Daphnia pulex: one gene and its partner. The protein of the gene in region 1 interacts with the protein of each later gene in a pairwise test. Links are inferred from orthologs where the notes say so. Each region holds a gene or a part of one and is shown on either strand. Other genes may lie near its edges. The genes, in order: CCR4-NOT transcription complex subunit 1-like and CCR4-NOT transcription complex subunit 11-like.

What was found.
Region 2: the proteins of CCR4-NOT transcription complex subunit 1-like (region 1) and CCR4-NOT transcription complex subunit 11-like interact in binary tests that used the Homo sapiens proteins (3 or more experiments, as listed by UniProt). The link is inferred for Daphnia pulex from reciprocal best matches to the Homo sapiens genes CNOT1 and CNOT11.

The regions. Positions count from the first base shown.
Region 1 is NC_060019.1:12,271,921-12,287,896, forward strand, and holds CCR4-NOT transcription complex subunit 1-like, read left to right. Parts: upstream 1-5,448; 5' UTR 5,449-5,609; intron 5,610-5,898; 5' UTR 5,899-6,033; coding exon 6,034-6,125; intron 6,126-6,181; coding exon 6,182-6,662; intron 6,663-6,718; coding exon 6,719-7,231; intron 7,232-7,294; coding exon 7,295-8,230; intron 8,231-8,300; coding exon 8,301-8,658; intron 8,659-8,734; coding exon 8,735-9,075; intron 9,076-9,145; coding exon 9,146-10,189; intron 10,190-10,257; coding exon 10,258-11,134; intron 11,135-11,195; coding exon 11,196-11,494; intron 11,495-11,561; coding exon 11,562-12,024; intron 12,025-12,115; coding exon 12,116-12,434; intron 12,435-12,500; coding exon 12,501-12,993; intron 12,994-13,055; coding exon 13,056-13,202; intron 13,203-13,270; coding exon 13,271-13,861; intron 13,862-13,929; coding exon 13,930-14,243; intron 14,244-14,331; coding exon 14,332-14,542; 3' UTR 14,543-14,851; downstream 14,852-15,976. Other genes in the region: RNA-binding protein 12-like, read right to left, coding at 67-1,529, 1,615-2,798, 2,959-3,101; uncharacterized protein LOC124191153, read right to left, coding at 15,187-15,324, 15,385-15,521, 15,591-15,644, 15,721-15,976.
Region 2 is NC_060019.1:7,967,212-7,982,669, reverse strand, and holds CCR4-NOT transcription complex subunit 11-like, read left to right. Parts: upstream 1-8,695; 5' UTR 8,696-8,763; coding exon 8,764-8,804; intron 8,805-8,875; coding exon 8,876-8,964; intron 8,965-9,028; coding exon 9,029-9,177; intron 9,178-9,240; coding exon 9,241-9,351; intron 9,352-9,409; coding exon 9,410-9,922; intron 9,923-9,985; coding exon 9,986-10,291; intron 10,292-10,364; coding exon 10,365-10,586; 3' UTR 10,587-10,727; downstream 10,728-15,458. Other genes in the region: titin-like, read right to left, coding at 1-3,072, 3,229-3,377, 3,566-3,712, 3,851-4,024, 4,092-4,332, 4,406-4,552, 5,529-5,641, 5,930-6,271 and 1 more. UniProt on the Homo sapiens protein: Component of the CCR4-NOT complex which is one of the major cellular mRNA deadenylases and is linked to various cellular processes including bulk mRNA degradation, miRNA-mediated repression, translational repression during translational initiation and general transcription regulation.

The DNA of each region.
Region 1 (15,976 bases):
GTTATGAACAGTTGAAAATTTTCCTTGACATAATTGTAACTGAAAAGAAAATTGAGACAGAATTGTTCAGATAATAGACAGATTGACCCTACGGTTCATCAAGTACTCATTTTGAAGTGTACGTACAGCTAACTCAGCTTCGTCAGGTGTAAGAAAAGCGACACGAGCATCGCCAGTAGGTTCACCGTTGGGTCCAAATCGCCGAATAACACATTTTTCATTGACTTGAAAGCCACGGAAGAAATCCAATATGTCAGCAATAATGGCTTTGTGAGGTACATTGGAGAGCGCGATGACACAGCCAGGGGCTCCGAAACCAGGAGTTGGGGATCCATCGTCACTTCCGCCTCGACCACCACCTCCATTCTGAATTGGACCTCCGGGCATTCTTATTCGCATATTAATATTAGGACGAGTGCGAGGACCAGGCCCACCGCTGCCAGAAAAATTTCCTCGGTTGCTTCCACCAGGAGGGTAACGAGGACCGCCCCCGAATCGAGGACCACCGAAACGTGGGCCCATTTGCGGATTGTATCCATTTCCTCCGTCAGCGCCCATCGGCGGCCTGTTGTACGGATCACTAGGTCCCGGATGTCCATATCCTCTTGGTCCGTGATCTGACTGGTTCATATTTGTATCAAGATATGGACTGAAACGTCTTATCTTATTCTCTTCGGCGGCAGGATGTCTGCTAACAACAGGAGCGGCATCTGGATTCTCGACTAAAGTTACGCTGACAGTATGGCCTCCCATGAAACCGCCATTCTTATCCAAGGCTCTCTCTGCCTCCTGCATACTGGCAAATTGGCAATAAGCGTTTCCGACGGGCATACGTTCTTCATCGTAGACGATTTCAATGATCTGCGGAATGACGCCAACGTCTGAGAAGAAATCGCCAATATCGCGTTCCAGGGCAGATGGAGGCAAACCCGTAATGAAGACACGTTGTGGACCGACAAAAAGACGACCTCGCTGATTCGGTGGCGCATCGTAAGAACCATTGCCGCCGCTTTGGGAACGATCAACGAAAGGGGGACCTGGTCTGTTGCTTGCAGGAGGACGATGAGGAGCAGATTGACCAGGTGAAAGTGGACTGTCAGTTTGAGTTGGAGGGGTGGTCATCACAGCGCCGACAACGCCACGGAAGCGTTCAAGATTTTTGGAGCAGACATGTAATTCCTCCAAGGGAAGAAAGGCCACCTTGACTTGACGGCCGCAGATCATGACACCGTCTTTCAGGAGTTGGATGGCTTTGCGAGCATCGGCTTCACTCCGGAGTTCAACAAAGCAAAGTCCGGTGACGGTTCCGCTCTCGTTCCGCTCTGGCAGCACCTGACCAATCGAGATCGTACCAAAAGCTTCTTTGACATTTTGTGCTGTCGCAACCGGTGGGAAGTCTCTCAATGAAAGACAAGAATTCGATAAACTCTTGGCATCAAGACTAATTCCAGGTGAGAAAGAATCAATCGCCTGGTTAAATGTCGAATCCTTAACATTGAATATTTGAACAGGATAGCCACGAATCGTACCTAAAACAAAAAAAAAAAAAAAAAAATACACAACAAATTAATTCCATTTTAATTCACGAATAAAATTGACTTAAGTTTTCTTTACCATTGTGGCGGGTAAGCGCTTTTAATTTGTCTTCATTGGAAGTGAATCGAATATACGCCAGACCGAATCGATAGCCATCCAATGCGTTGATCATTTTGATGCATGTGTTTGGGACATTAATTCCACTAAGATAATCTCTAATGTCTCGGTAAGTCAAGTCTCCAGTCAGCAAACGTAACTGAACAGAAGTATCCGGCACATTTTCATTTTGTTGATTGGCTTCCAGTTCCTCGGCCGGAGTAGGAAGAAGTCCTGATTTGCTGAGTTTCCGATCACGGTCACGATCCCGTGAGTTTCTAGCCCTCTCGCGACTATCCGAGCGACTTCGACGGCGGCGATCTCGGCCACGACCGCGACTTCCGCTACGACTGCGACTCCTCCTTCCACGTCTACTCATGTCTGAACCTCTTTCTTTGTCGCGATCTTGTCTGTCTCTTCGACTGCGCTCTTTACTTCTGTAACCAGCACGACCCATATCGCGATTCCTATCCTGGACGTCTGGGGGAGTGTCACGAGAATTGCGGCGATTCTGGTCAAAACGTTGCGGCCCTCCGTGAGCATACACATCTTGCATGTCCCCACCGGTTCCATGCAACATTTGCTGGCCACCGCCATACGGTAATAAGGGAGGCTCCTCAATAACTTCTCTCATACGCGGACCGAAATGCTGTGGAATATGAGGTCCTCCTTGCGGCAAGTGGGGAGCGTAAGTCTGTGAAGGGTTCATGTGAGGCGGGAAACCACCGGCATGAACAGGATTTTGCCCACCACCTGCCAACATGTTTTGACTTGGGTTATATGGTTGATGACTTTGTGGTTGTGGATACATTTGATGATCATAGCCCCCTGGATGGCCCTGACTAGGATCCATGTGCATATGGAAATTGCTGCCACTGGTGCTGGATGTTGCTCGTAGTCCAGGTGGTCCGCTGATAGGGGGATTGCTATGGGCGGCAGGAGCGGCACTAGGAGCAAAGGGGCCTCCTGTAAAAGGGCGCTGAACTGCTGACGTAGGAGCCATGTTGCTTCCTCCGCTAGCAGCGCCTTGCATAGCCAAGTGCTGCTGTCGTGTCTCTTCAATGATCTTTTGCATTTCCGTTCGAGAACTCAAGTACAGCTTGACTCGCGAGTCCTTCAACATACCACCGTCCGATGCCATTCCTTGTCGCGCATCCTCGTCAGTACTAAATTTAAATTGAAAGATAGACATTAATGTTTCGTTTTCAGAAAAAACAACAACACTGGTAACGCATGTGCGATCAATATTTTGAAAGCGTCGTGTTGCTTCACCGTTATACTTTATCAATGTTGGTTATTAAGATATTGGGGTCGTTGAATTGTTACCTGAATGCGATAAACGCGTCGCCTAGTTGCCCCCCGACTATATGCACGCCCCCTTCTGGTATGGATAGACCATGGAAGAATTGTCGAATATCTGCAGCGTTGGCCGACCAAGGCAAGTTCTGTAGTCGAATAATGACACTCATCTTCACTCTTGATTTCTTCTTCTTTTTCTTCGACGGTCACTTCTGAATTTAACGCCGACTCAGTTGCATGCGGCCTATTTCGTAATCAGCTATAACTGGTGCGATGCCTCTGTGTTGCCCTTTATTCGAATGGAGTGGAAGGTAAAATGATCAGTAATCACCCAGTGATAACAACATATCTCAAGATTATAACATCAAAATAAATCAATCCACTTCTTTCGACGAAATCCATTTCCAACAAAAACAAACAATGTTAGTGCGTCACGTGTGTTGTTTGTATCGAGTGCCATGATGGATTATCGCATTGACTTTCTCACCGGGACAAACGTTTCTTAAAAAAACCCTCAAAACCTCAAAATTTTTCAAAATATGGACATGGCTTGATTCAGACGCCTCTTTCCAACCCAGTTAAGCCGTGACGTCAAATGTGTCGCACACCTTCAGACTTACATCAATCGCTAATCAAGTTACATTTTGATTTCGTTTTTTTTTCTTTACTCAGAAGAACCCGCCTCACAAACAGCCTATTTGTTTTCGACGCAACTGCGATTCTTTATTCCTTCCCGGCCAAGCAAACTTTAGAAACTTGCGACGTCTCCAATGGTAGAAAAAAAAAAGAAAATTAAGGCTTTGGCTTTTTTTCAGCCAGGCAAGAAACCTAGCACACACTCTGGATTTTAATGATGCAAAATAGGAAAAAAAAAAAAAAAATCCAACAGTTCATTGGAGGAAAAAGCTGTAGATTACTGAACTTTCTAGAGAATCTCTGGTACTTTGAAAACAGGTCGACCCCATGAGCAAATAAATAAAAGTTAACACTGAAATTATCTTTGCTATATAAAAGAAAACGCTACTGCTTTGTCGAAAGCTCCCACTTCGAAAATGGTTTGTACACTGCAGCTCGCATTTCTTTTCTTTAACCTCAACAAAATCCTCTGAAAATTGAAGGGTAACCCAACATACACAACATACAATATAGGAAAAACTGCATGAGGGGGTTCCAGAGTAGGTTCCTTTGAACAGGTTCAGATTTAAAAAATGAAGCATGATGTCATGTCATGGGATTTTAAGAACTGAGATTCCAGCACCACACATCATGTTTCAAAGAAACTATACAGCTTGTGGAAACTGAGATTGAATGGACAAAGGGCAGCTTCATGCATTGAATAATCAAGAATGAAGATGACGAAGTATTAACACTAACTTTAAAAATGCATTAATTCTAAGTTGGTACTGTGTTCCGTTGACACTTGCACAACATTTCACTTCTTGAATCACATCCTATTTGTCTGTTTATCGCAGACTACAAAAGCATCACCACAGCATTTTTCTCCTTCGATGTTTTGATTCTGCAGAATTCCAACCCATGCCTTTAGAAGAATTTCATGATTAAGTTCTTCTTCGACAATAGCCTCTTTCAAAATACACACATGGCTGCAGTGACATGTTTTGAGCATTGTCAAATGTTCCAATCAGTCTATGTTCCAATGAAGAACACATGTAGCCAATAACACCCCTGTTTGTAGCAACTAATCGAATAAAAAAAAAACCGTTTTCGAACTTAGTATGAGCCTCGTCGCAAAAGAAATGGAAGTGACCTGTTTTGTTTGTGGTAGTAATTTAACCTTACCAAAATTCAGTCTAATTTTCCTGAAATCCTTGCGAATTTAGAGTTTAAAATAACCCTTCTTGAACGCAAAAAATTAGAATTGTTGCTGTTGTAAACAGCCCTGACGATGGTTTTCTTGAAGACAGTAGAGCCCTAGTAGTTAATAAATTTTTTCAGTTGGAACGGCGGGAGATTTTGGAGGGCTGCGATGAAGGAAGCCAAGCTTTAATATGGCGCAGTTTAGTTTTCTTTTTTGTTCACAATAAGTCAGGCTTGGTGTTTGTACTCGTAAACTTTTTGGTGACCACACTGGAAAACCTTTCCGGACGCCATCTATACATTACATTAAAATTTTTAAAAAGCGCTAGCTATTAAAATGAAAAATCACTGTAAATATATTATGGAATGTATTAATGTTTTCATATTTTAAATTTTATTATTGAAATATAAAAATTTCAGAAAATAAGACGTCGGTCGCAAAGAATGAGTGTATAAAGTGTACTACTGCCAGCGCATGAGTTACATTGACATTGAGTCATCCCTTCATTTTGCATAGTAGATATAATTTCTGACGGAAAAATTTATGTAAAATATATTCAAAACAAATAATGAGCCTAACAAATTCTGTATTTTATACTTACTTTATTTTTGTCAACCTTTTTTGAGTTTTTCCGAAAGAAAGCTAAAAATTCTCTTCTCTACCGCTAGAGGCGTTGACGAAATAGGCTGAATTTGTTCGGCTTCATCTTCATTCCAAATTTCTTGTGGCCAGCTGATTTTTTTGTTCAGGTTCAGGTTGATCGTGCAGCCATATTGGTTTGAATTTGTTTGATTATTTCGTTTGAACATTTCAAGCTGAAATTTATAAATCATTTTAAGAAAAAAAGTAAAAATCACTGGTATGTTGTATTTTAATTAAATCCGAATTTCCCCATTTCAATCGGCCAATGTTAACTTGTCCAATCGCAATGACCTCTTGAACAATTTCTTTGTTTAGGCAAGAAGCCAAAGCTTGATCGTGCGGTAAACAATGGCCATTTACCAAATAATAGACAAAGTTTTTAGTTTAAGTTTTTAATGTTATTGTCAATTCCTGTTATTATTTTTATGATACTCTTGATGTCAAAATATTTCAACATGTATCTTTAGTCAATCAATGAGTTTCTTCCAACATTTTTTTCTTTTCAGGTTTCGACAGTTGCTGACCTAAAGTGTTTCGTGAGTGGTTGCTAATGTCAGTGTCGGCCACAGAGGGAAGCTTCAAAGGCCATTTTCCTGGGCTTTGAAGCTTTCACCTGCCAGCCCTCTGTCTTTCATGGAACTATGAGCCTAGACTCACTGTCACTGGCGCTGACACAGATCCAATACCTGGTCAACAGCCTCAACAAAAAGAACTATCTTCAATCTAGAAATAGGTTAGAAAATTCAATTTTATTGAAAAACATCATGTTAATTTTGATATTTATTAAAGCATTGAAGAATTAGTTACCATTTATGGTATTGAAGCTGAAAGACATCTTCTTTGTTGCTGTCTTGCTGGAGTTGACTTTGTGGGGTTAGGAAACGGTGAAAGTTCATCATCTGTCAAGTCAAATAACCCAGGCAAGGAGAAGGAAAGAGAGCAGCTTCTGGCTGATTTTTTTGGACATTGCATCACCCAGCCAGCATTCCCTAGTCTTCTGAATAGTGCCCTTGAACAGCCATTGAGAAGCAACTTTACTAGAAGTGTTCAACAACAATTCAAAAGCAATTCGGCAGTTATCAGCAATTTCTGTCGGTTTTTGCGACTGTCACGAAGCCAAGAGGTGGTTCTTAGGATTGCTCTTTTAGAAACATTCAACCCTGAAGCGCGTTCACAGTCTATACTAATTATTCGCCAGAAACTTAGTGAACTATTGAAAAATTTTGCTGATCAAGATAGGAATACTGCCCCGTTGGAAGGAGGACTACAGGTAAAGCGTAAGCAAGTTTAATGTGTTCGTGTATAATTTCTAATGTATTTGTATAGGAATCGTCTCCTGAAGTCATTCACTACATTCTTAGTCGATTGATCAACGAGCCGGATACATTTGGAATAAGCAAAGACCTTTTAGAGGACGTATTGAGCTGCTTGCGCCGTGACTATCCTCGTGAATTGGTCCCTGTGATTTTAGCCCCAATCCTTTACAAGGAGCAAGGGGTAGACTACACTTGTCATAAGATGGCACACGAAACTAACAGTTTGACCAAGAATATGGTCGAAACATCATTGGCCGATTTGATCCTTGAAACTGGATACCCATTCACATCAAGTCTCGAAGAATGCCGTGCAAATATCACGACCTTCGGTTTTCGCGAATTGTCTCCCACATCGGTAGCTCGTGCAATAATCTACATGGTTCGCACGCACAGCGGATTGGACGAACATTCATTAAGACACTTGAGAAATGGTACATCACAATCATGGCCTGAGCAAGAAAGCTCAGGAGATAAAAGCGACGAAGGCCTTCCTACCTCATGGAACATGGAAATATTTGTCCAGGTAGTGGAAATGTTTGTTACTTCTTTATTTTGTATGTTCTTATCCAAAATTGCTCATTTTCAGGTTGTTACGGAGCTGGTGCCAAGTTTAAACTGGAAAGAAATTGTTTCAGAATTGGACCACCCTAGTTTCCTCATAAGAGATAGAGCAGGATTGCGCCTTCTCCTGACGGCCCTACAATTGGGCCTGCAAACACAGGGCGCAACTTTCCCAGCCGAGTTGCTGTATCAATCATGGAACAACGCTGAAGCTCAGCTATCGCTGCTTTCGCAATTAATGAGGAATACGGATCTCTTTTGCATTGCCGACTATCCACACCACGCCATTAATGTCGAAATTCTGAAATCACCCCCTGAACCTGATAACAAGAAGCTTGCCAGTTGGAAATGCCTGGGATTGCTTGAAACTCTTCTCAACTTATTGGAAAACGGCGGGCTTTACAGCCAGGTGCAAGAATTGCTTAAGGAGCCTGTTCAACACTGTCCCGATGTTTTAGTCCTTGGGCTTCTTCAGCTGACACAACCAATGACTAAACTCAGACAAGAATTGCTCAGCAGTCTTATTCCTGTTTTTTTGGGCAATCATCCAAACTCTGCCATCATTCTACACCATGTCTGGCATGCACAGTCACCTCTGGTCAAACCTCTGGTTATGCACGCTATGGCTGAGTGGTACATGAGAGCTGAACACGATCAAGCGCGGTTATCAAGAATTCTCGATGTAGCCCAGGACCTAAAGGCTCTATCTATGCTACTAAATGTGCAGCGCTTCCCTTTTGTCATCGATCTCTCGTGTCTAGCATCGCGCCGTGAATATCTCAAACTCGACAAATGGCTGACAGACAAAATGCGTGAACATGGGGAAACCTTCGTTGCAGCATGCGTTAACTTTCTACACCAGAGATGTCCTCAAATCTCCGGGAAAGTTAAAGAAGAAGCTGGTCTAAAGCCCACTCAACTTCCCTCGGACACACTAGCAATCATGTTGTCCTGCCTGCAGGTATGTTTCTTTGTTGTAAATCAGATTTTTTAAATTGATCAAACTAAAATTCTATTTGCATCTTCATAAGGTTTGGACTGGAAATGTGTCTCAAGAACTATCTGATACTATAAATACAATGGTTGCGAATTGCAACGTCCTGAATCGTGCCCGAGCGCAACCCCCACCTGGCGTCTTGAAACCTATCCGTCCTGGCAGTGGAGTTGGAGTTGACGTTTCATTTCCACCAGGAACCTTAAGCAGCCAACTATTTCCGCCTCCTGGAGTTGACTCAACTGGTCTTTCGCCCAGCCTTAGTAGCATGGGCTTAGGTCCACCAACTTCATCTGGATTTGCTGTTAATATTGGGTCCAATACACTCGGAGGAAATACTCCAGCCCCCGGATCGCCTGGAAAATTGTTCTCTAGCATGTCTTTGCTAGAAACTGGTAATGAATTACACCATTCGAAATCGACTCATCCAATTCTTATAACTAATATTTATTTACTTGTTTTGCTTTTCAGGAGTCAATCAGCCAACGGTTGTGGGGATGCCAAACAATTCCAACTCGAGTCAGAACCAAAGTACTTTCTCCATTTTTTCTTCATTAACTGGAACTGGAGCAATGCCTGGATCATCCAGTACAAATCCACTGGGCATAGGTATTCCATCTTCTATGGCGAGTGGAAGCGGGAACGGTCAATCAAGTATGGGTACGAGCAATATTGGATCTGGTACGGCTGGTTCTCCTGGATCGATTGTCAATGGCCCTGTTCGAGTAGGAATGAATCCTCACCTAGGCCAAGAACGAAGAACCGGCGATGTATCTAGTGCTTTTGCTGACATGCCACAAGCTGTTTCAAAAGTAAGCTAATATTTTTTTTATTTTTATTTTCCCCACACCTAATGGACGCATTCGTGTTTGTGTAACAAAGGATATCGAAGACGAGACAAATAGTTATTTCCAGCGGATTTACAACCAATCGCCTTCAACGCCTACCTTGACAGTCGATGAAGTTCTTGAACTTTTGAAGAAGTTTCAACATTCGACTAACCGCCGTGAACGGGAGATATTTGACTGCATGTTGAGGAATCTATTCGAAGAGTATCGTTTCTTCCCTCAGTATCCAGATCGCGAGCTGCACATAACGGCTCAGTTGTTTGGTGGAATCATGGAGCATGGTCTCGTCACCTACATGGCTCTGGGAGTGGCACTACGTTACGTACTTGAAGCTGTCCGGAAACCACACGGGACGAAGATGTACTATTTTGGGATCACTGCCTTAGATCGGTTCAGACATAGATTGAAGGAATATCCGCAATATTGTCAACATTTGGCCAGCATTCCGCATTTTCGGGAGTTCCCGCCGCATCTAATCGAGTATATCGATAATGGCTCCCGTGGCGTCGAGCCACCCAATCGTCCTCATGGTCCAGTCTTACCTCAAGTGACGACAGCTGCCAAAACCACTACTCCGACTACGCCAACTACAACGGTTGCTGGTAAAACGACCTCTACTGCTGCACCTATGAGTGGTCGACCGTCAATAGCAAACGCGACCAACATCGACACATTGCTGGTTGCTTCGGAGAAAGACGTCTTAATTGTAGACCCACCAGAGAGCGTCCAAGACAAAGTCAGCTTCATATTTAATAATCTGAGTCAATTAAACCTGACGCAAAAGTGCGAAGAATTGCGTGACATTGTGGGTGAAGAACATTGGTCTTGGGTAGCCCAGTATCTGGTGATGAAAAGAGCTTCAATTGAACCAAATTTTCACACACTCTATTCAAACTTCCTTGACACACTGAAGCTATCCGAGCTCAGTCGACTTGTCATTGGTGAGACGTTCCGCAATATCAAGGTACTCCTTCGTAGTGACAAGGGAATAGCAAATTTCTCAGATCGCACACTGTTGAAAAATCTTGGTCATTGGCTTGGACTTTTGATGCTATCTAAAAACCGGCCGATTCTACAGGTAATTCATTATTTTATTTTTAAATTGTGTACCAATTTTGCTAAACTGCAACTTCATTTAATATTCAGGGAGATATTGATTTAAAATCAATTCTAGTCGAAGCGTATCACAAAGGGCAACAAGAACTTCTGTACGTCGTACCATTCGTGGCGAAAGTCTTAGAGTCATGTGCTAAGAGCAAAGTGTTCAAACCACCCAATCCATGGACCCTAGGAATCATGAATGTTTTGGCAGAACTACATCAGGAGCCTGACTTGAAACTTAATCTTAAATTTGAAGTCGAAGTTCTTTGCAAAACTCTAGCCATTGATATTCACGATCTTAAGCCGGGAGTAGTCTTCAAGGATCACAATCGTCTGTCACGTTTGGAACCGCAGTTGTCCCAGCCGCAATTACAGCAAATGTATCAACCAGCACCACAATTGCAAATCATTCAGCAGCAGCAGCAGCAACTTCAACAGCAGCAGCAGCAACAACAACAACAACAGCAGCAGCAGCAGCAACAACAACAACAACAGCAGCAACAACAACAACAACAGCAGCAGCAGCAGCCACCACCACCGCCACAACTTGCTGGCTCACCTGCACAACAAATGCAATCCCAGCCTGGCACAACTACTCCAACACCAGCCCACGCAATTCAAGGCCCTCCTGATCCGAGGTTTTCTTATTTGGACATCAATGTCACTTCGTTGGCCGGACTAGCTCAGCATCTAGTAGTTAATAATAACATACCGCTGTTGACGGCGCATCCGAATTTAAGGATCCTTATCCGACCAGCTGTTGAACGAGCTGTTCAAGAGTGTATTCATCCAGTTGTTGATTGGTCTATGAAAATAGCCTTGACCACTTGTGAGCAAATCATAAAGAAAGACTTTTCACTCGACGCGGATGACACCCGCATGCGCGCTGCTGCTCATCACATGGTTCGCAGTCTCAGTGCAGGTATGTCTCGTTTAAATTTGTTGATGTATATAGAATTTATATTAAAATTGTGTATATTTAGGCACGGCATTGATTCGCTGCCGAGATCATTTGCTATTGACGATTGCAAACAATCTCAAGACAGCATTTTCTGCTGCCTTGCAGAGGAGCACCAGCCCTCAACAGAAGGAGTTGGTTGAACAAGCAGCCACTTTGACCGCTCAAGATAACGTTGAACCAGCGTGTGCGTTTATCCAAAAGACAGCCGTAGAGAAATCCATTTCGGAAATCGATAAACGCCTTGCCACGGAGTTCGATTTACGCAAGCACGCTCGAAACGAAGGCAGGAGATACTACGACCCCGCTGTTTTCGCCTATCAGGTACACACGTCTCTTATTTTACGTCTGGCAAACTAAACGTTACAAAAATATATCTTTTATTATTCAGGCCGATCGAATGCCGGAACCCATTCGTTTGAAAATGAGTGGCGTTACACCCCAACAAGCTGCCGTATATGAGGAGTTTGCCCGATACATCCCTGGATTCTTACCTGTCACCGAACGAGATGCAGCCATGCTTGTGCCTAAGATGATCCCCACGTTTACCAACGATGAAATTGGGGTCATTTTGGAAAAAGTCGCCATGGAATTGGAGCGTTTCTTGCAATCACTGTTGCCATTGGGCAGCTCAACGCAAGCAGTTGCGATTGGCTCTCTATTGGAAGCTGTCATTTTGGCTCGTTCTTCACGTGAACACGGAGCACATATTACTTTACTTCAAAAAGCTTTCGAAGGACTGGTGGAGAGCTTAACCAGTTTCGCTACGACCGGAAATGATCCGGAAGCCGTCGTCCGTTTCCGCGACGCACATTTGCTGGTTTTGAAAGCCTTGCAAGATCCCCAGGCTTATGGTCAGTAAATCTAAATGATTATTTTTAATGATTATTATTTGATTGATGTTGTTTATGTTATATTTTTTAAACCCATTTTTCCTGTTTTTAGGACCTCAATGGACTAATCGTCAGGTGACGCGATGCTGGGCCGAATGTCGAGAAGAGTTTCGATACAATCTCGATATTCTTGACTGCCTTGTGCGAGCTCATCTCATAAACTTGCAGCAATTTGACATGCAACTAGCTTCTGTGTTAGAGCAAGCCCTTAATGCTGGCATTGGATCTTCTATATTAGCACTTGGCTTTGCTATGCAATTGGTGCATGTCTATCTTCTCGAGGGACCCGCGTCTGGCGCTCCCGTGGTCATCACTGAAAACGACTTGGCGAACACCATTGAAATTTTGACACGTATCGCTGCTCACGCTAGGTATTTTTTAACCGTGTGCATTTTCTATTCGATCGATTGAGATTTTATGTTATTTTTCTGTCATAGGCAACCCCCTGATGGTCTAGCAACTATTTTGGAATTGCTTCGAGCTGGCCATGAAACCGGTTTAATGGATCGTGCCACTGGCGGTCCAGGCGGACCAACGGCTTTAATTCATTCTGGAATTGCTCAGGCACGCGATTATGACGATCCCCATGGATTGCCCGAAAAGACCGAATACCTTCTGCAAGAGTGGGTAGCTATGTATCATCTACCTAACGCTGGACGGGATTCGTCTAAAGCTTTCGGTCACTTCGTCACCCAAATGAGTCTACATGGAGTGTTGAAAACCGATGATTTGATCACACGCTTTTTCCGACTGTGCACTCAATTTTGCGTTGATATCTCCTATCGAGCATTGGCTTCCGAACCGACTGCCGACCTGATCCGCAGTAAAGCGTTTCACACTCTGGATGCTTATGTCCGATTAATTGCTTTACTCATTAAGCATTCTGGTGACGCAAACAACGGCGTTACAAAAGTAAATCTCCTCAACAAAGTACGTAAATGATTTGTCTTTCGACTTTCAACTACTAATGGCCGAATTGTCAAACTGCTTAGGTTTTAGGAATCGTTGCAGGAGTTCTGCTACAAGATCAAGAAGTTCGCGGTGCGGAATTCCAGCAATTGGCTTATCATCGTATCCTCATAATGTTGTTTCTTGAGTTAAATGCGCCCGAACAAGTACTTGATTCCATCAATTTCCAAGTAAATCTTTAAATTATATAATAGTCACTTGAATTATTTGCTAATTTTTTGTTTCTTTGTTGACAAAGGTTTTGACAGCTTTCTGTCATACACTGCACATTCTGAGACCAGCGAAGGCCCCAGGCTTTGCGTATGCCTGGCTAGAAATTGTTTCGCATAGGGTTTTCATCGGGCGATTGCTGTCGATTACTCCCCAACAGAAAGGATGGGGGATGTATGCTCAACTGTTGATCGACTTATTCAAGTTTTTGGCCCCATTTCTACGGAACGCCGAACTGAGCAAGCCCGTCTCAATGTTGTACAAAGGAACACTGCGCGTCCTGCTGGTTTTGTTGCATGACTTTCCCGAATTCCTTTGCGACTATCATTATGGATTCTGTGATGTGATTCCTCCCAATTGCATTCAAATGAGAAATTTGATTTTGTCGGCGTTCCCACGCAATATGCGTCTGCCTGATCCATTCACGCCCAATCTCAAAGTGGACATGTTACCGGAAATCAGTCACGCTCCACGTGTACTGACTCATTTCGCAGCAATGATCCAACCGCCTACGCTCAAAAAGGATTTGGACTCGTACCTGAAAACCCGCGGACCAGTTACGTTTCTTTCGGAGTTACGAAGTGTGGTTCAGGTTCACGTTTCTTCGATTAATCTTCACGTAAGAAATAATTTTTCTGTTAGCAATACTATTCTTTTTACTAACGTCGCTGACAACACTTGATTTAGGTTTCACCTGAACCTGGAATGCACTATAATTTGCCCTTGCTGAACGCATTGGTCTTGTACGTTGGCACCCAGGCCATACAATCGATACAGACCAAAGGATTATCTCCGTCAATGGCGACTATTGGCCACTCTTCTTACATGGATATCTTCCAGAGTTTAGCCGTCAACCTTGACACGGAAGGGCGTTACTTGTTCATCAACGCCATTGCTAATCAATTGCGCTATCCTAATAGCCACACGCACTACTTCAGCTGCGTTCTGCTTTGCCTTTTCGCAGAAGCAAATTCTGAGGCGATTCAAGAACAAATCACTAGGTACGTGACTGGGTCTTGTGTTTCAATATACAACCATTTTGTGATTGACGTGAAATAATTTTTCTCTTTTATCTTGACTCCTAAATAGGGTCCTGCTGGAGAGGCTCATTGTCAATCGACCGCACCCATGGGGATTACTCATTACATTCATTGAATTGATAAAGAACCCTGTTTTCAAATTTTGGAATCACGAATTCGTCCACTGCGCCCCGGAAATCGAAAAACTATTTGAATCGGTGGCTCGATCATGCATGGTGGTCCAAAAACAAACTCCTCGGGATGCAGAAAACCACGATTGATTAATTGAGTTCACCGACTACTTATGTACAGTTTGTGCGTGTGCTCATCTTCTCAACCAATGTTTGTTTGGATTTTTCCTACACCCTTTGGCGGTGCGTGGTGAATTGTGTCAGAACATGTCCATTTAGTTTTTTTGAACGAATGTATTATTCTTTTCTCTTTATTTGAACCCCCAGTTTTCGCTCATTTTCTCCTTCTTTCTTTGGTATCGAGTTCATCTTTCTCGCTTTCCCCCCTCGGGTCTGCATTCACTGTGGGTTTTCCATGTAGTAATGTTCACTTTTAATAATACACACGAAGCAAATGGACGTATTCAAGACTTGAACAGAGTTTCGTGTATTATCGAAGGGAAAATCCGGCCTGTGCTTCTACATATTGTCGCAATGTACAAAGTATATATAGTACAAAACAAAATTTGAATTGGAAATTGGGAAAAGACGGCTTCTAACATTGGAATTTCCGAAGGTATATTTATATTGTTAGGGTGATTTAAAGGTATGACATCTTTTAATTTTTAACAGCACGGTAACTATACATGGTCAAATGGTCTTAACTGTACGAGTGTAAGAAGGACTATAGAGACAAATCAAAGTTGACAGACTTGCGTTGATTTGGCGTAGCACAGTCCAAATTATGAACCTCCTTACAGGTGACACTGTAGATCGGCATTATCTTGTTCTACATACGGTGGTGGTGGTTCGTCTGGATATTGTTCTTCAATCCCTGGTGTATTGGCAAGCTCAGTGTCTTTTGTTGGAGGTGGAAATTCCCAAGCCGTAATCTAAATCAATAGAACTAACGTTAAGTACTAAGCCTTGATGGATAAATTTTTAACTTTTACCGGTCTTCCACCTGTTGGCAAGTTGTCACCACCCACTACAAAGATAGACGACAATCGCGGGCGGATTCCTGCAGTTTCTCTATTTGGCCGACTGCACGCCAGGGTCGACAAAACAAAGCTTGTGGTCGCTCCGATTACTTATAAGTTACACGTTAGTTAATGAATTAGCACAAATGAATAATGTGAAATTATGATTTTAAACTAACCTCCGGAAACCAGTAGCAACAGATGTAGCGTACGTCCTAATTGAATATCGTAACCTACACGTTGATACGTTGATTTTTATAAGTATTAAAGCGCACTCGAAAGAATAAGTGATCATATTTTTCCAACTACCGCAGTATCCGTGTCTAATATTTTCGCAAGAAGGGCCGTTTTCAATAGGTCCATAACACGAATTGGAAGTGTTCGCCGTCGAGGAAGTCAGTTGAACAAATGGCGTAGTAGTTTGAAATTCGCTGGCTGTCGTCATCGTTGATGTAGTCTTTGTATTATTAAATGTAGGTAGACCGTTGATGTAATCATCTTCGCAGTTGTATTCCCAAAAATCTTCACAACAAAGAGCAGCTTGGGATCCCAACCAACTCAATGA
Region 2 (15,458 bases), about 4.3 Mb from region 1:
ATGTTCAGTTTCCTCGGTAGGGCTATCTACCTCGCCTACTTCTTCTAACTGGTCGTAGGTTAAAAATTCAGCATCTTCGGGATCAACCAGGTGTTGGAGTGGAGGTGTTGGTGGCCGGTAGGTCACAGTTGGATTTTCCACTTGCTCGTCATCTTCTTCTGCGTGGAATTCGTCATGTGAGTCATCGGGAATAAGTTCTTCTTCTGGGTCGACTGGTATCAAAAAGATTCGGTCAGTTGGCTCGGAAAATCGGACGCGAGGAGCATCCGGTTCTTCCACGGTATAGAGAGGCTCTTCCTGGATCTCTGGAGTCTCTGCATTCAGTTCCATTCCGATGACCGAAAGCGTCATTTTTCCAGACAAAACAACAGGGCTTGATTCGTATTCGTTTTCATCGAGGTCCAGATCTTCAGGAGGGACGACTTCGGCGGAGCATTCAGCTTCAGACACAACTAGATGGCTGTCATGGGGTATGGTGGTATCCAGAAATACGGAAGGAATCTTGTCGGAGGGTTCGTGCTTGACTGCGTGGGATTTGTCAGACATTTTAGGCAACAAATCAGTCGGCATCTTTCCACAGTCTTCCATGCAGGCTGTTAATTCCATGCCGCACACGTTTACAGTCATTCTTCGCTCTTCAGATCCTTGACGGGCACTCTTTACTCCGGATTCTTCTAGCTTCAGTTTGCTGCACGGGGTTTGGATGACGGTTTCTTCTACTTTGGGTTGAATTTCCTCCATCACTGCATTAGGCTGGACGGATTCAACTTGTGTTTCTGGTTGTTGGACTTCAACTTTGTTCTGATTCTCCTCCGCTGCATCGTCGGGAATTTGAGGGACGCTTTCCGTTTCAATTTCCAGAGTATCTTCCGTGATATCTTCGATGTTAGTGTGCTCGTCTTCTGCGACAGTTAGATCGTTGCCAGATTCGATTTCGGATTCCAGTATTTCTTCGATGGTTTCAGCGTCCATCAAGCTGCTTTCTCCCTCTTCAGAATTTGTTATCTCATGGGTGGCTTCAGTTTCTGTCACTTCTTCAAGCGTTTCCTCCGGTTGGCATTGGCTTTCTTGTTTGTCTTCTTGGGCTGGTTCCTCTGCTGTCAGTTCAGGGATTGAACTTTCTTCTTCTTTGATGAGCTCTTCGACACTTTCGATTTCCGGTTCGGCTTCGACTGTTTGGCATTCTTCCTTTTGAACTTGAACAAACTCTTCTTCGGGTTGTTGTGTTGCTTCGCTACAAGGCTCGCAAATTTCCTCCTCTTGCATAACCGATTTTTCTGGTGCAGACTCAACTTCAGTTGCTGTCAATTCTTGAACTGTTTCCTCAATTTGCAACTGACTTTCTTCCTCTTGGACTTTAACAGCTTCTGGTGATTCCAAGATGGCTTCTTCTTCAATCTGAGAAACGCTTTCGTCTTCCTTCACTGATTCGCAAATTTCTTCTTCCTTTACTGGTTCGCAAATTTCTTCTTCCTTTACTGGTTCGTAAATTTCTTTTTCTTCCGCAATAGATTTCTCTGGTAAAGACTCGACTTCAGTTGTTACCACTTTTTGAACTGCTTCCTCAACTTGGGGCTGGATTTCTTCCTCTTGCACTTTTACAGCTTCGGATGTTTCTAAGGTGGTTTCTACAGATTCCAGCTCTGTTTTTTCTTCAATAGGTTGGCTTATTTCTTCTTCTTGTATTTCAGTGCAAGGTTCGCAAATTTCTTCTTCTTGCGCAACCAATTGTTCCGATGAAGACTCGACTTTAGATGCAGTCGCTTCCTGAACTTCTTCCTCAACTGGCAACTGGCTTTCTTCTTCCTGCACTTGAACAGCTTCCGGTGATTCCAAGATGGTTTCTTCTGGCCTGCCAAGTTCTTGGACAGGTTCCAACTCAGATGCAAATGATTCTTCTACACAAGGTTCGCTAATTTCTTCGTCTTGGACAACTGAAGACTGAACTTCATTTGCTGTTTCTTCTTGGACTGCTTCCTCAACTGGGGACTGAATTTCTTCTTCTTGTACTTGAACAGTTTCAGATGATTCAAAGATGGTTTCGTCTGTACTGGTTGATTCTTCCTGAATGCATTCACCTTCTCGCGTAGATTGCTCCTCCCCGGCTGTTTCTTCAATCTTGGACACGCTTTCTTCCTCTTTGGCCGGTTCCGAAACAGATTCGACCTGTGATTTTGGTACCTCTTCAACCGTTTCTTCAACTTTGTACCGACACTCCTCTTCGTTTACCGGTTCTTGAACAGCTGGAGTTTCTGTTATTTCCTCCACTGTTTCCCTGCTTTCTTCCTCTTTTGAACTGATCGGCTCATATACAGGTTCCGATTCTTCTAGTTGGCTTGATTCTTCCTCTTGCGTTACTGATTTCTCCGGCGCAGACTCGACTTCGGCTGAAACTTTTTCTTGAACAGTTTCCTCGACTGGCAATTGACATTCTTCCTCTTGCACGGCTTCTTCAACAGATTCAACCTCGGGTTCCAATTTGACATTTTCTTGCAAGCTGCTTTCTCCATCTTGTGATTTAACAAGTTCTTGAACAGGTTCCGATTTCAGTAGCTCTTCGGTACAAGGCTCGCTTATTTCTTCTTCTTGAACGGCAGATTGTTCTTGTACACTTTCAATTTCCGGCGCCGGTTCCGATTCGATTTCAGACTTGGTAACTTCTTCCTCTTGTGTGCAAGGTTTTTCCTGGGCGAATTCAATTTCAGATGTCAGCTTCTCCTCGATCGCTGTTTCCTCAATCGCAACGGGAGATTCTACTTCAGAAGTTGTTGCAGGTAAACTTTCTTCTATCACAGCTTCCTCCTCGAATATCTCGCTTGGCTGCCTCTCGGATGGCAATCTTCGTACAAAAGAACGAAGGAAAGATTCACTTTCAGCTGCCGACGTTTCGGTAAAAACTTCTTCAACCGGATCCTGCTTCTCCTCTGAACTCTGAACGACTGAGATAATGACTGGTAACTCCTTTGGCTCTTCTTCCTGCTGGGCACACTCCGACTTCAACTCCTCAACAGCTTCTTCCGGTTGGCAAGGTTTGCATTCTTGACTGGTTTCATCCGCAAGTTCTTCATTAGTCTATCCCATAACGCATGACAATAAATGTGTTATCGTACGGAAATAGTATAGGTTTAATTCTGCGTATTATATTAGAGTGGAGTCGGCTACCTTTGAAGCCTGAAAGTCATCGTTCCTGAAAATTAGTCAACAATTCGATCAATCTCTTATGCCAACCTTATCAGACGACAGTTGCGGGGTGAGCAAATCGGCTACGGCGGATGTGGAGAGTTTATCGGTGACGTCACCCATCTGCCGGCAGATACGCTCCATCGCCCGTTCAGTCTCTTCCAGCCGACGACGCAGTTGGTCCACCTCTTCTTCTTCTGTTAATCGCCAAAAATAAACGGATTACTATCATTTTCCTAACTCACCCTTTTTGGCAATTGAGGTCCCATGCTTGCAGGACAGCGGTTATTTCTTCTGATAACAGGAAACGTTCAACATTTCACAGCTGATATATGCTGTTGGCTAATTTATGCGGTTAGTTATGTTAAAGTAGCGCTCGTATTACTCTGGGCTTTGAGTGCGGCAAAAGCCAGGCGTAGTGAACGTTCGTCGGCGTCGTTGAGGTCGATGTCGGAACCCGTCTCGTTCTCGTCGGCGGATTCGCTTCCAGCGGGACCGGTGCCATCAAATCCAGGAGGCAGGTACCATTGACCTAAGTTGGTGTGTGAACATGCAGCAAGCTCGATGCGTATTAAAATTCAGGCCTTCATGCGATATGTACTGTACACTAATCTTTCTTTTTGTTGTTGCTGGAATTATTTGATTATTTCTTTTTTTTTTTAAAGCCTACCAATAGGTTTTCCGGCGGTATCCATTTTGGGGCTGCGTGGGATTATGACCTCCTCTACGACTTCTTCCATCTCAGACTCTTCTTCCACTTGAGCAGGCTCTGTCTTACAAATGCTCTCTTCGGAAGCCACCTCCGTTTTTCTACAAACGTCTTCCGGAATCGTCTTTAATTCTTCTACAAATAGGTACGAATTATTGAGAAATATGTCACATCAAGTAGATTAAGACATTTTTAATATTACCATCTTTTCTGGCGAAGAGTTCTGGTGTTTTCGATCGACTCCTTCTCTGCTGTTGAAGCAGTAATTGTCTCTGCTGCTCCTGCAGGATTGCGTATTCTTTGACAGTCATCTCTGAAACGGGGCCAGACACTCCGGAGCAGTACTCCTCGGAAAAGAGGAACTTTCGGTGCTCCCCATCCATGTGGAAGTCTTTGATGCGAGGTTCGCTTTCATCCTCGGTCACTGGCTTCTTGAACATGATCTATCGTCGTGAGGGAAGGAAAAAAAATATGCATTATGGCCTTTGGTTTGATTTTTTAAATTTTGATTCAAACCTTCATCATTGTATAAAGGAAGAAAACGATGATGCCAACTGTGTAAATTGGCATTAAAATGCCCATACCACCAGATCCTGGGGAGGAAGGTGAGACGATATGAGGGGCTCCGCCCATGGGTGGACGCATTCCGGGCATAGGGCCGGGCTGCCGAATTAAATTAAAGGATTATCATGGATGTGGGGGGGAAAAAAAGTATTATTTTTGTAGTATTTTTCTTTTATAAATAGAACTCTTTGCAGACGGGAAAACATATGTATCTCTTCCTTGTTATTAGTGGAGACTTGTGTGCGTCACATTTCATTAACATCTTACTTTAATTTCAAAACAGAAACTGTCTCAGACTATACGACATTCAGCAGCACGGTAATGATCGATAACGTCGACCAAAACAGACTTGCCGTGTCAAACATTCGTCTTGGACCGTTTAGAATGGGTTTTTAGGGCCACCTAGAGAAAAAATTCACGGCCACAGGGGAACGTCGACGTCAGCACAACTGAGAAACCATCAGACGCCGACTAATTTTAGCCCGAAAGCCCCCGCGTCCGCCTTCTCGACGGCCACGAGCGTTCCTCCGACTTTCTCTCTCGCAACTTCCCAATGCATCGGTACGACGGGAAGGACTATTTATTCACTCGTTCTATATATAATAAACAGCTGTCGCGAGGGTCCAAGCGCCGGAACTTCCATTCCGTCCCTACCACCCAAACCACCAATAATTCGTCACTCGCCCATTCATCCCAGCAACTATTTTAATAAGACTAATCTTCGGCGGATTTTCATGTTAAACGACGAGTGAACTGCACAGAGTTTCATCTGGGGACGGAATTAAAGCTTTCGAAGAACAGCAGTCTGGAAACCTTGAAAATGCTCTCCTGTGTTTCTTTTTGGAACTCAGTCAACAGTCGTTGACGAAGGGAACCGTCAAGACGCCCAATTTTGTTGCTAGTGGTGGTGATGTGGAACAGAAAAAAGAAAGAACAGCGGAACAATCTTTTCCGGAGACGACGAGTCATCGCGGTCAACAGCCAGTACACGCGCCCAGCATTGAGACGGGAAAAAAAAAACACAACCCCGACAAAACGACACTTTTGAATTTGTGTGCATGTATATTTACAATACCTTGGCCTCTTTCGCGATGGTACGGGTGGGTGGTATGACGCGTCCTTTTTCGCGGAGTGCCGGATGCATCATGTCCGGATGCAAATGCGGGGGTCGCTCCGGTCGCATATGTCCTGCAACGAAAAACATCAGCCATTCAATTGCATTAGCCTTGATGGATCTTTAAAGCCTATATTACAATTTAGTTTAGTCTGTTAGTCGGATGAACAGTTAAAGGATTGCGAAAATTTGCTTTTGTTAGTAGTGATGAAGAGTCAATTTTTGGTTCGAATAATTATTTGTTTTCCGGTTTAATGTGTAAAGTGAGTGAACGACGATTTGAATGAAGTTTGATTTTGTCATTTGTGGGGTATGTGATGGATAAGGGGGCGGAGTGGGACGGAATCGGGAGCCTGTCTTACGTGGATATAAAACATCAGAAGGTCTGTGGTAGCTCTTCTTAGCCCTGACTAGGTTCTCGTCGATGCCGAAGTTGATTTCCAGACAGCTGGTGAGGTTCTGGGCGCGGACACGGCCGTGGAATTTGCTGCTCAGCCGACGATCGACTACGGCGCCGTCCACGTCCGATTTGACAACATCTTCCAAGTCGATCCCACATTTGTTCATCAGTTCGTGATGGCAGAGGGAGAGCGACCGTTCTGGCGGAATGCCTTCCCGTTTCTTCAACACCTGGCTGCACAACTCGTTCAGGAAGGCCGCCGAGCTGGCATCGCTCTCAAACACCACACCGCAGCATAGAGCACCTGCTCGATGATGATGACACCATCACACAACTGTTTGTTTGTTTGTTTTTGCCACACGATATGTATAGACGGACGGGATCAAACGCTAGACAGGTTGGGTCCAAGCCATCAATATTGATTCTAAAATTAGCTTAATAATATTCTATTTGATCCTGCAAGAATCCTTCCTTTTGTTTCAGTAGTTTGAAAACACTTTGAAAATTCAGAATCCGATCGGTGGTGGCCTATCCGGTGGCTGGCAAGTTTCCTACATTTCTTGAGCACAATCTAATTTGAGGTTTCCCCCTTTCTTTATCCGTCCATACTGCTGTTATCCATGCTCCGAAGACTTTCTCCAAATCGCACAAATATCTAGGTATAGCCGATGACTGGACGTTTGAATATTTGTAAATTATTTCTATCGCATATTGGCAGATGTTTATCAACTGCATGTACAATTGAAAAAAGAGGTCAACATTTGTTATTTTAACATTATGTAAAGCTGCTAGCTTATCCCGTGTCTTGGGCGTTTTTTGGCACCTGGAACATCGGCGCCAAGGATGACCTCGATTGTGCTACTTGTTTTGTAAAGCTATCGATCGGCGCTGCTGCTGCTGAGTGATGACACCGTTCGCAAAGACTCGTCCAGAAACCCTTGCGAGAGCATAGCATGTAATTATCGGGCGTAAGGCTTCATCGGGAAATTTTTGGTTTGGAAAATCTATACGTCGTCAAAATGTCAAGGTTCTGCTAGCATAGAGGACGTCAAAAGATTGAGAAAACAAAAATAAATAAGAGAGAGAGAGAGTCGTGTGCTGGCGGGGTGGAAACTGATGTAACGACTGACGGCTGCTCAGGGCAAAGACAGATGAATGAGGCTAGACCCCTCTCACGAAATTAGACAACATTTGAACATTCCACAAGCCTGGTCGATTATGGTTGAATTTCACGATGTTACTTCCGGACTTTTGATTGCAGTGCATCAATCTTAATTAAACGTGGTGGAAGAGAATAGATATATGTATAATACAAAGGCTAAAAAGATCGATACATACCTGACGGATCACGCTCTTTGATTATAGGAGGTTGCTGCTCTATAGTTGTCGGTGCCACAGGACCCTGGAACATGGGGTAGAAGATTTTTGGCCAAAGGATGGCGAAACAGCCGATCACAATGGCCAAAACCACTAGCGTTTTGCCTTTCGAGAACTCCGGCGCCATTTTTTCTTAGACTCTGTCACTCTCTCTCTTTCTCCCACACGGAAGCTACTGAGAGCGGTTAGTAGAGAGGGGACAGAATAATGATTATACGGCAGGAGCGTTTGTGCTTCGTAGAGATTTCTTCGCCCTTTTTTGTATCCAGCAGTTGTGGCATCGATCAACGCGACTGATCCTCGGAGAGAACTGCGCACGACTATATTCAAGCGGGGGAAGCGGCAGCTCTCAGTTTCCCTCTTGGTACCGGAGGGCGGATCCATCCGCGTCGACGCAGAACACGTTTGCTCAACTCTCTCAAGTATATAAATATCACGTTCCCCTTTCTCTGTACTCTTCCTGCTCCCGTTCTTCGCAATGTTGGTTTCCTTTCAAAGAAATTAAGAATGATAAATAAATTAGTATTCACCAGTAAGCTTGGTTTCAGTATCTCTTGTAATTTACCTGAGTTGGAACACTAGTCAATATTGAATTATCATTGATCTGTTGGTTTTGTTGGTTTGTTTCTTCCTTTCGATGGCTTCAACCAATTTCCATTGTATTGCAACGTCGCTTCGACTCTAGGATAGTGCGACTTTCAAAATAAGAACAAGAAGTAACATATTATTATAAAAATATTAAAAGATTTCCTTACTAAAATTATGCAACTTCTAACTAGTGAAATATCTACGTGCGTGTCATTATTTTAATCTTTTGATTACATTTTAAGCAGAAAAAAGTAGGTTGAAAAACCGATAAAATCATGTAAATATCTGGAGGAGCGGGAGGAGCCAGTCGAATTCTGTACAAGGTGAATTGGACGAGAACTAGAAGCATACTAGAAGACTAGGAAGTCTTTCATTGAACACAGTACAAGATATTCAAGTGATATTATAAACTTATCTCTACATGACCACAAACAGTAACATTGAACATTTTGAACTATTGCTGATAAACGCTTTCTTACCATCCTGTGCATGTGTTTTTTCACTGTAGTCGGAACTCTCAGGCATTTCAGCAGGACCGATTTCCCCGTGTGTGAGATTTTCATTTTTTGGTTTCAGTTGTTTCACGCCTGGTTTTCGTCTGCTTGCTTGCTGTTCTTCTTGCCACAAAATCAAAATAAGTAAACACTAAAAATAAATAATTAAATACATTTAGACGCTAACAGCAAAACGAGCAAATTCATAAATGAATGGAGTCCAATAAAAAAGCGCAAAAATTGTAAATAACGGGCAAATTACCCGCTTTGTGTTATCATTTTGGCTTGGCAACCTTGCATTCATTCAATGAAAATAATTAAATAACAAATAAAGAAAATGTCGGCATTGTCTGTCAAGGATTTGAATCAATTGCTTACGTAATTATACTTTAAGAATAACATATTTATTCGTTTTAATGGTCTAGGTATCTAATGTCTTAATTTTGAAGTATCTTAGATGCCGAGAATGTCGCTAACCAGAGTGTCGAAGCCTTGGCTTCTCAGTTGGGGGTCTTTAATAAACAAGAATACTTTAAAGGTATTATAAAAACCACTCGATTTTAGAAAAAAAATACGTTAACTAACAATTGAAAATCAAATAGTTGGAAATGCATTAGTTATGCTACTTCAGAATGCTGATCTGCTTCCTTCACCATCACAACGTCTGGCTGCAGTGTTATTGCTACATGAGCTTTTCAAACCAGATGCTCAGAATTTCCATCCATTCTCCTCAATTTTTGTGCAACTTCTTGTAAGTAAATATTATGTTGTTGTACATTCACTAGTAAAGTTATATTTTAAAAATCATTTTAAGGCTGATGAACCTCTACAAACCAAGAGACCAGATTCATATAGACTACTACCGAAACTCAGTCCTCCAGAAAAGATTTATTTATCTCATCTCATTACTAATCCTCAAAAAGAAGTATGAAGTGTTTTAAAATGTCATAGATTTTATTTGCTTAATTGAACTGCTATTGCAGATGTACAAAAAAACTCTCCGACAAATATTGAATTTTGACTCTACCAATTCAATGGCTGATATTTCAGCCCTTCAAATAAGTGTGACAGAGCGCCTTTCAGAGTACACTTTAGCAAGCAAAAGCAGAATACCTGCTGTTCTTTCAATGCCTGATGTTCGTCCCGGCTTTGACCCTATACTTCCGGATAGTAGTGCAATCAAGAAGACAGCAGAAGCTCTAATTACTGGTCCCAACGCCGCTATACAAGAATCTGTGGGTCCCGAGTTTGTGAGGTTAGCTCCTCCTCTATTTTGTCCGGACGAACTCGTCTGGATCGATCCAATTGGGGAAGTCGACCACATGATTGCTTACGACACTACAGTTTGCATACCTAGAGGTGCCGGCTCGGAAGCTCGGCGATTAATTTCGCAAGCTTTCACCGGTTCTTTGACTTTGCTACAACAAAACAGATTGCTAAGCGAATTAGAGCGCGATTCTCGTCTAGTCTATCACGTAGGAATCACTCCTAACAAAGTAAGCTATTTTGATTGTTGGTTTTGCATTTTCGCATTTGAATAATGCTTATTTTCGACGCAGCTACCTGCCTTGGTAGAAAACAATCCACTCATCGCAATCGAGGTGCTACTTCGACTGATGCAGTCTTCCCAAATAACGGAATATCTGAGCGTGCTGGTTAATATGGAAATGTCTCTGCATTCGATGGAAGTAGTCAACCGATTAACGACGGCTGTTGAGTTGCCAACTGAATTTGTCCATCTGTACATTTCCAACTGCATATCAACGTGCGAAACTATCAAAGATCGTTACATGCAGAATCGTTTAGTCCGACTTGTGTGCGTCTTCTTGCAGTCCCTCATTCGCAATAAGATTATCAACGTCCAAGTAAAGAACAAATCATGTCGTGTTAAGTTTGTAACGTTTCTTTACAAAATGTCTAATTTTTCATCTTCTTAAGGAGCTGTTTATCGAAGTGCAGGCATTCTGTATAGGTTTCAGTCGAATTCGCGAAGCTGCTGCCTTGTTTCGTCTCCTCAAACAACTCGACAGCGGTGATCAGAGTGGACTCAACAGCACTTCATCCATCGCATCCTTTCCTGGGCTGTCCTCACTCTCGACATCTTCCTTCAATCCTCAGGCATCACCTCTGGCATCAACTGCCAAAGGCAAAGGCGAATGAAAGTCGTTATTATTATTGTTGGATGTTGCATCGTATGTTCGCGTCTCAACTATTGAAACAACAGGCTTATTGATACAGTATATGCTATGGGAATCGAGGGTGAAGAGTTTTGAATATGATATATACAATTCACGAATTGTTTGCTCTTTGATCGTTTGAACCTTTCTAGAAAAAATTAGAGTGTGTACAAATTCGTCGTAAGAAGTTAAGGGTGGGTAAGGTTTTCGGTTTTAATTTTAGTTTTAAGCAGAGAATAATAACGGGAGTTAAATTAGGACACAATAAAAACCAACGAAGTGCAAATCTAGTTCATCATGTCAACTTCAAGATTATCGCTTCTTGTAACATTATTATGCATTTTGCCATTTTCCCCTAACGTGTGGTCGATTGCACAAAATCATGAAAAACAGATAATGAAAGCTACAAAGTACAAAGGGATGTACTACCTGAGCTAATGAGTGAATGTGAGTAGGAGATCGCTGATGAAAATTGAGGTCAATGATGAAATTGTAAGTTTCGAAAGTTATAGGTTGACAAATGAAAATCTAGCTGGCAATCGGTGAAAAAGTTGCCTCTACAAAAAATGTTAAGCAACTCATTTGGAGATCGGATGGATCGATCGTTTATCAAAATTTCAGCATTCACTTGTTTACTGACTCTGATTTACAAAACCAGCTTTACGGACAATTTTCTAAATTAGTTCATCTAGTATATAAAAGCTCCAACTTTTGAAAGAAAAAGTATAGTTCTGGTTGAACAATCCTCACGGAAGAACACAGTTGTATTTCTATTTTAAAAGCAAATCTCAACCAGCTACAGTATCTGCGCTTATTTGCATTCTAATGGAAGTATGGAACTAACTAACCACATCCTACTGTATTACATGATAATCAATAATCTTTTCTTTTAGAAAAATATCAGCAAAATGTTAAGAAGGATGGACAACAATATAATGGCTCAAAAGGTGATTTTGCTATGCGTTTCATCAATTTTATTTGTTTTGATGTCGGTTGATAGTCAATGCAAAGTCCGATTTTCCGAATTGGAACACTGGAGAAGGCGGCGTCAAATGGCTCCCCAACTGCGACTTTCCCGGACATGATATTGGCAACCGACCCAGTGCGGGAGACCGGTGTGGTCGCCTCTGCATTGACAACCCTAACTGTAATCACTTTAGTCACTACAATGGAATCTGTTACATGAAAAATATAGCGGATATATGGACCCCCCGTAAACCAGCCAACGGAGTCGTATGCGGTTTCCTCACTTGTCACAGTTCATACAGCCCGCTTTCAGGACATTATTGCCAGATCAAGGGGTAAAGTTGTTAAGTCGACGGTTTTCGGCGAAAAATAATTTTCTACAGTTCTACTTCTACATTATTTGGCACCCTAAATTTTTATCTTGCAAATTATACGGTACTATGTTTGTTAAAAATATACTCTCTTAACAACACTTGAAAAATTCAAATTATCAAATTTTCTCTATTCTTAATTTCTTACAGACGTCGAATATTTTTACAGGGCTCTTTCGGATCTGTTTTCTTTTGCCGTTTTATTTGGCAACGCAGCATGGCGCCGTTCCTTTTTAGCGCGAGAACGAGGAGAGAGGGAGAATGGGACGAATGGGAGGGAGGAGGGCGTACGAAAAAAAGGGGACCCAGGTTTCCTCTTCTCCCCAGGGACCGACCCCTTTCTTCCCCACTCTATTCATCCCTTCCTTGACTGTCCTTCCTTTCGTACTCATTTCACCCCAACCATGCAATGGCAACAGACGACGAATGTCGAATGGCATTCAGTATTAGATGTTATACCAATGAAAAAGTAATAGTCGAGCAAAAAATCGTGCGCAGTTTACGCCGATGCGCACCACAGCGGCCGATAGCAGAACTAAGATTGTTATTACGCTTGACCACATATGTACTACACACAGTCAAGATCATTTGTTCGACAAGCAGTCGGTTCTCGTCTCGTCTAAAGTGGCGTACATAGGCGGTCAAGCGTAATAACAATCTTAGTTCTGCTATCGGCCGCTGTGGTGCGCATCGGCGTAAACTGCGCACGACTTTTTGGCATGTCTACTACTTTTTCATGGTATAACATCTATACCATCCCATTACCACGACGGTCGCCTGGGAGAGATGTCGTGCGGCAGCGTCCCTTGTGGATTGATTTAAAGGGCCGAAACGAATTTGTGATTTTTATGTCCTTTGCCGATTTACTCGGGTCTTTTTGCTCAGCGGGTCATACGCGCTTTACTTTAGTTGACATAGTCTAAGTCGCTCTGCTTCCTCCTAAAAATATTTAATTGAAATTAGCTCTTACATTTTTCCATCCAAATTTTCATTTTTTTTTGTACTCATCCTGGACTGATAGTACTTTCCTATTTAAAAACGGTGACGTCGCTTCCTCAATTTCATGGGTAATTTCATGGCGATCAGGTCAAAATCAATGCCCTATTCGGGGTTTTCCTCCTCAGTGAGTTTTTTTTTTCAACAAATCTACTTCGTTCGGTGTAAGGTTTCCTCTATAAAAAGTTGGATTGAGGTGGCACTGCCACCGTCGACGAAGGAACTTATAATCGAAGTCAACCTGGTTTGGGAAAACTTCCAGGGCAATCTTCTTGAAATTAATTAAGTCAAAAATATAGACTTATGAATCTTTGAACCACTTTGGAGGATTTCAATTCACTTGAAAATATATCCGTTTGTCGAGACTTTCAAATTGGCTTATCATCAGGGTTTTGTTTTTTGGTTATACCTGCAGCCGTCCTTTTAGTCAAATTCGTAGCTATATATGTGTTCACGTAGACATTGCTTTTTCTCCTATTCTCTCCAATTCTTGCAAGACAGCCTTTTCCAGTTCAGCTTCCGTCTTCGGAAACATTTTTAGCCTCTTTGGATAGTCATTAACAACCCCCATACCAATGTAGTCATACAAGCTACTCATCTCTGACTTGTCTACAGCCGTGCAATTCATTTGTTTCTGTTCAAGGAACGTACTCAGTTCCAATTTCAGATGATTAAACTTATCATTCACCAAAGCAGCTATGCGATTATTCCTCACATCTACAGCTTCCTGCAGGGCACACTAAAAATAATGACAATAATGAAGGTTACAGCTTACAGAGCTGCTTAACAGACAATCACATAGTACTACACTACATAATTCAAATATACACGCAGTAGATTGTCTTTACCACAATTACCTCCTCATCTGTGTCCTGATTATCTGTATCCTCTTCATCGGTATATTCATCATCTGTATGAACTGTATCCTCCTCCTTTTCGCAGTTCTCCTTTTCAAGGATATTCAGAGTACTACCAGAACAACCCGGAAGAACATCTAATCCTTGGAAACCATCAATTTAACTGTTGAGATTTAATTCCAAAGAATTATTCCTCTTTGTTCTAAATCAGAAAAAAATTAGACCATAGATGAGATGAAAGAAATGGAAACAAAATACCAGGCAGCACAAGTCCAACACACTTACAAGAATTCACTTCACTTTAGACATGCCAAAAAGTTGTGCGCAGTTTACGCCGATGTGCACCACAGCGGCCGATAGGTTAACTAAGATTGTTATTACGCTTGACCGCCTATGTACCACATGAGACGAGACGAGAACCGACTGCTTGTCGAACAACGTGAGGAAACAAAGGGGCGACGTTCGTTTGTCGTTGTAAAAACAATGTGTGGTTGAGTCTGAGTGGGTCTGTAGAGTATAAAAAGGAAAGGTGTGGGCTGAAGAGGTTTCTTTTTTTTGGTATTTTAACACCAATTTGGTGGTTTTGAAAAAAAGTTGGTGTGCAAATGGTTTAGGTGTTTTTAGTGAATTTTTGTGTTTAGGTTTTAGTTTTTCTTAAAACGTGGATCCTGCAAAAAAGCCATTATGACAGCACATATTTTTGGTTTGTTCTTAGGACGTCTGATGTTGCCTACCCTCCTCCCCCCTCTACGGCCGTGACGTCGTATTTGAACGGCCCTTTTGTCGAGATTTTCAAGTTGGCTTATCATGGTTTTTTTTTTGTTTACCTGCAACCGTCTTTTTAGTCGAATTCGTATATATTTATGTCTTCTCGTAGACATTGCAGTTTCCCCGCGGCTATTCCCTCCAATTCTTGCAAGACAGCCTTTTCCAGTTCAGTTTCCGTCTTCGGAAACATTTTCAGCCTCTTTGGATATATATATTGTAATCCTCAACCTCAAACGTGCAAGTTTTTCTTTTGATTGCGTCCAATGTTTTTTTACTTGACATGGTCTAGTTTTCTCCAACTCTATTGTATATTTGTTTTATAAACCGAATATTTTATCCCAATCCATCAACCCTTTATTATAAAAAGGGGGCTGTCATTTTTTTTTCACTGCGTTTTATTCAAATGCACCCACCGGGGGGGGGGGGCATTTGCTAAAGGGGGCGATCGTCCATTAGCACAGCAAGTTCTTTCACAATCCTTTTTAATGCTGCTGTAAGCACTTGCGGATTGCTTTAAAGGGCCCAAACGACTTTGTGATTTAATGTCCTATGCCGATTTATTGGGCGGCACTGGCTGCTCAAGAGGTTTGGTTTGCATTACTATGCGCCTAGAAGGGGTTACAAGAGCGGTAGAAGGCATAGCGGCTCTACAGAGATAAGTCTCCATTTGGGACTCAGTTCTCCCAGGAAACCTCAACTTCATCTCATCCCAGACTATACGCGGGACTTTTTGCTCAGTGGATTATTACGTGCTGTACTCAAATTGACGTAGTCTAAGTCGCTCTGCTTACACCGATAAATATTTGTTAGAGATTATAGAAAGTAACTATATATAATGGCATTGTTTTCAAATTCTTACCTTTTTCCATCCACATTTTCAGTTTTTTGTACTTATCC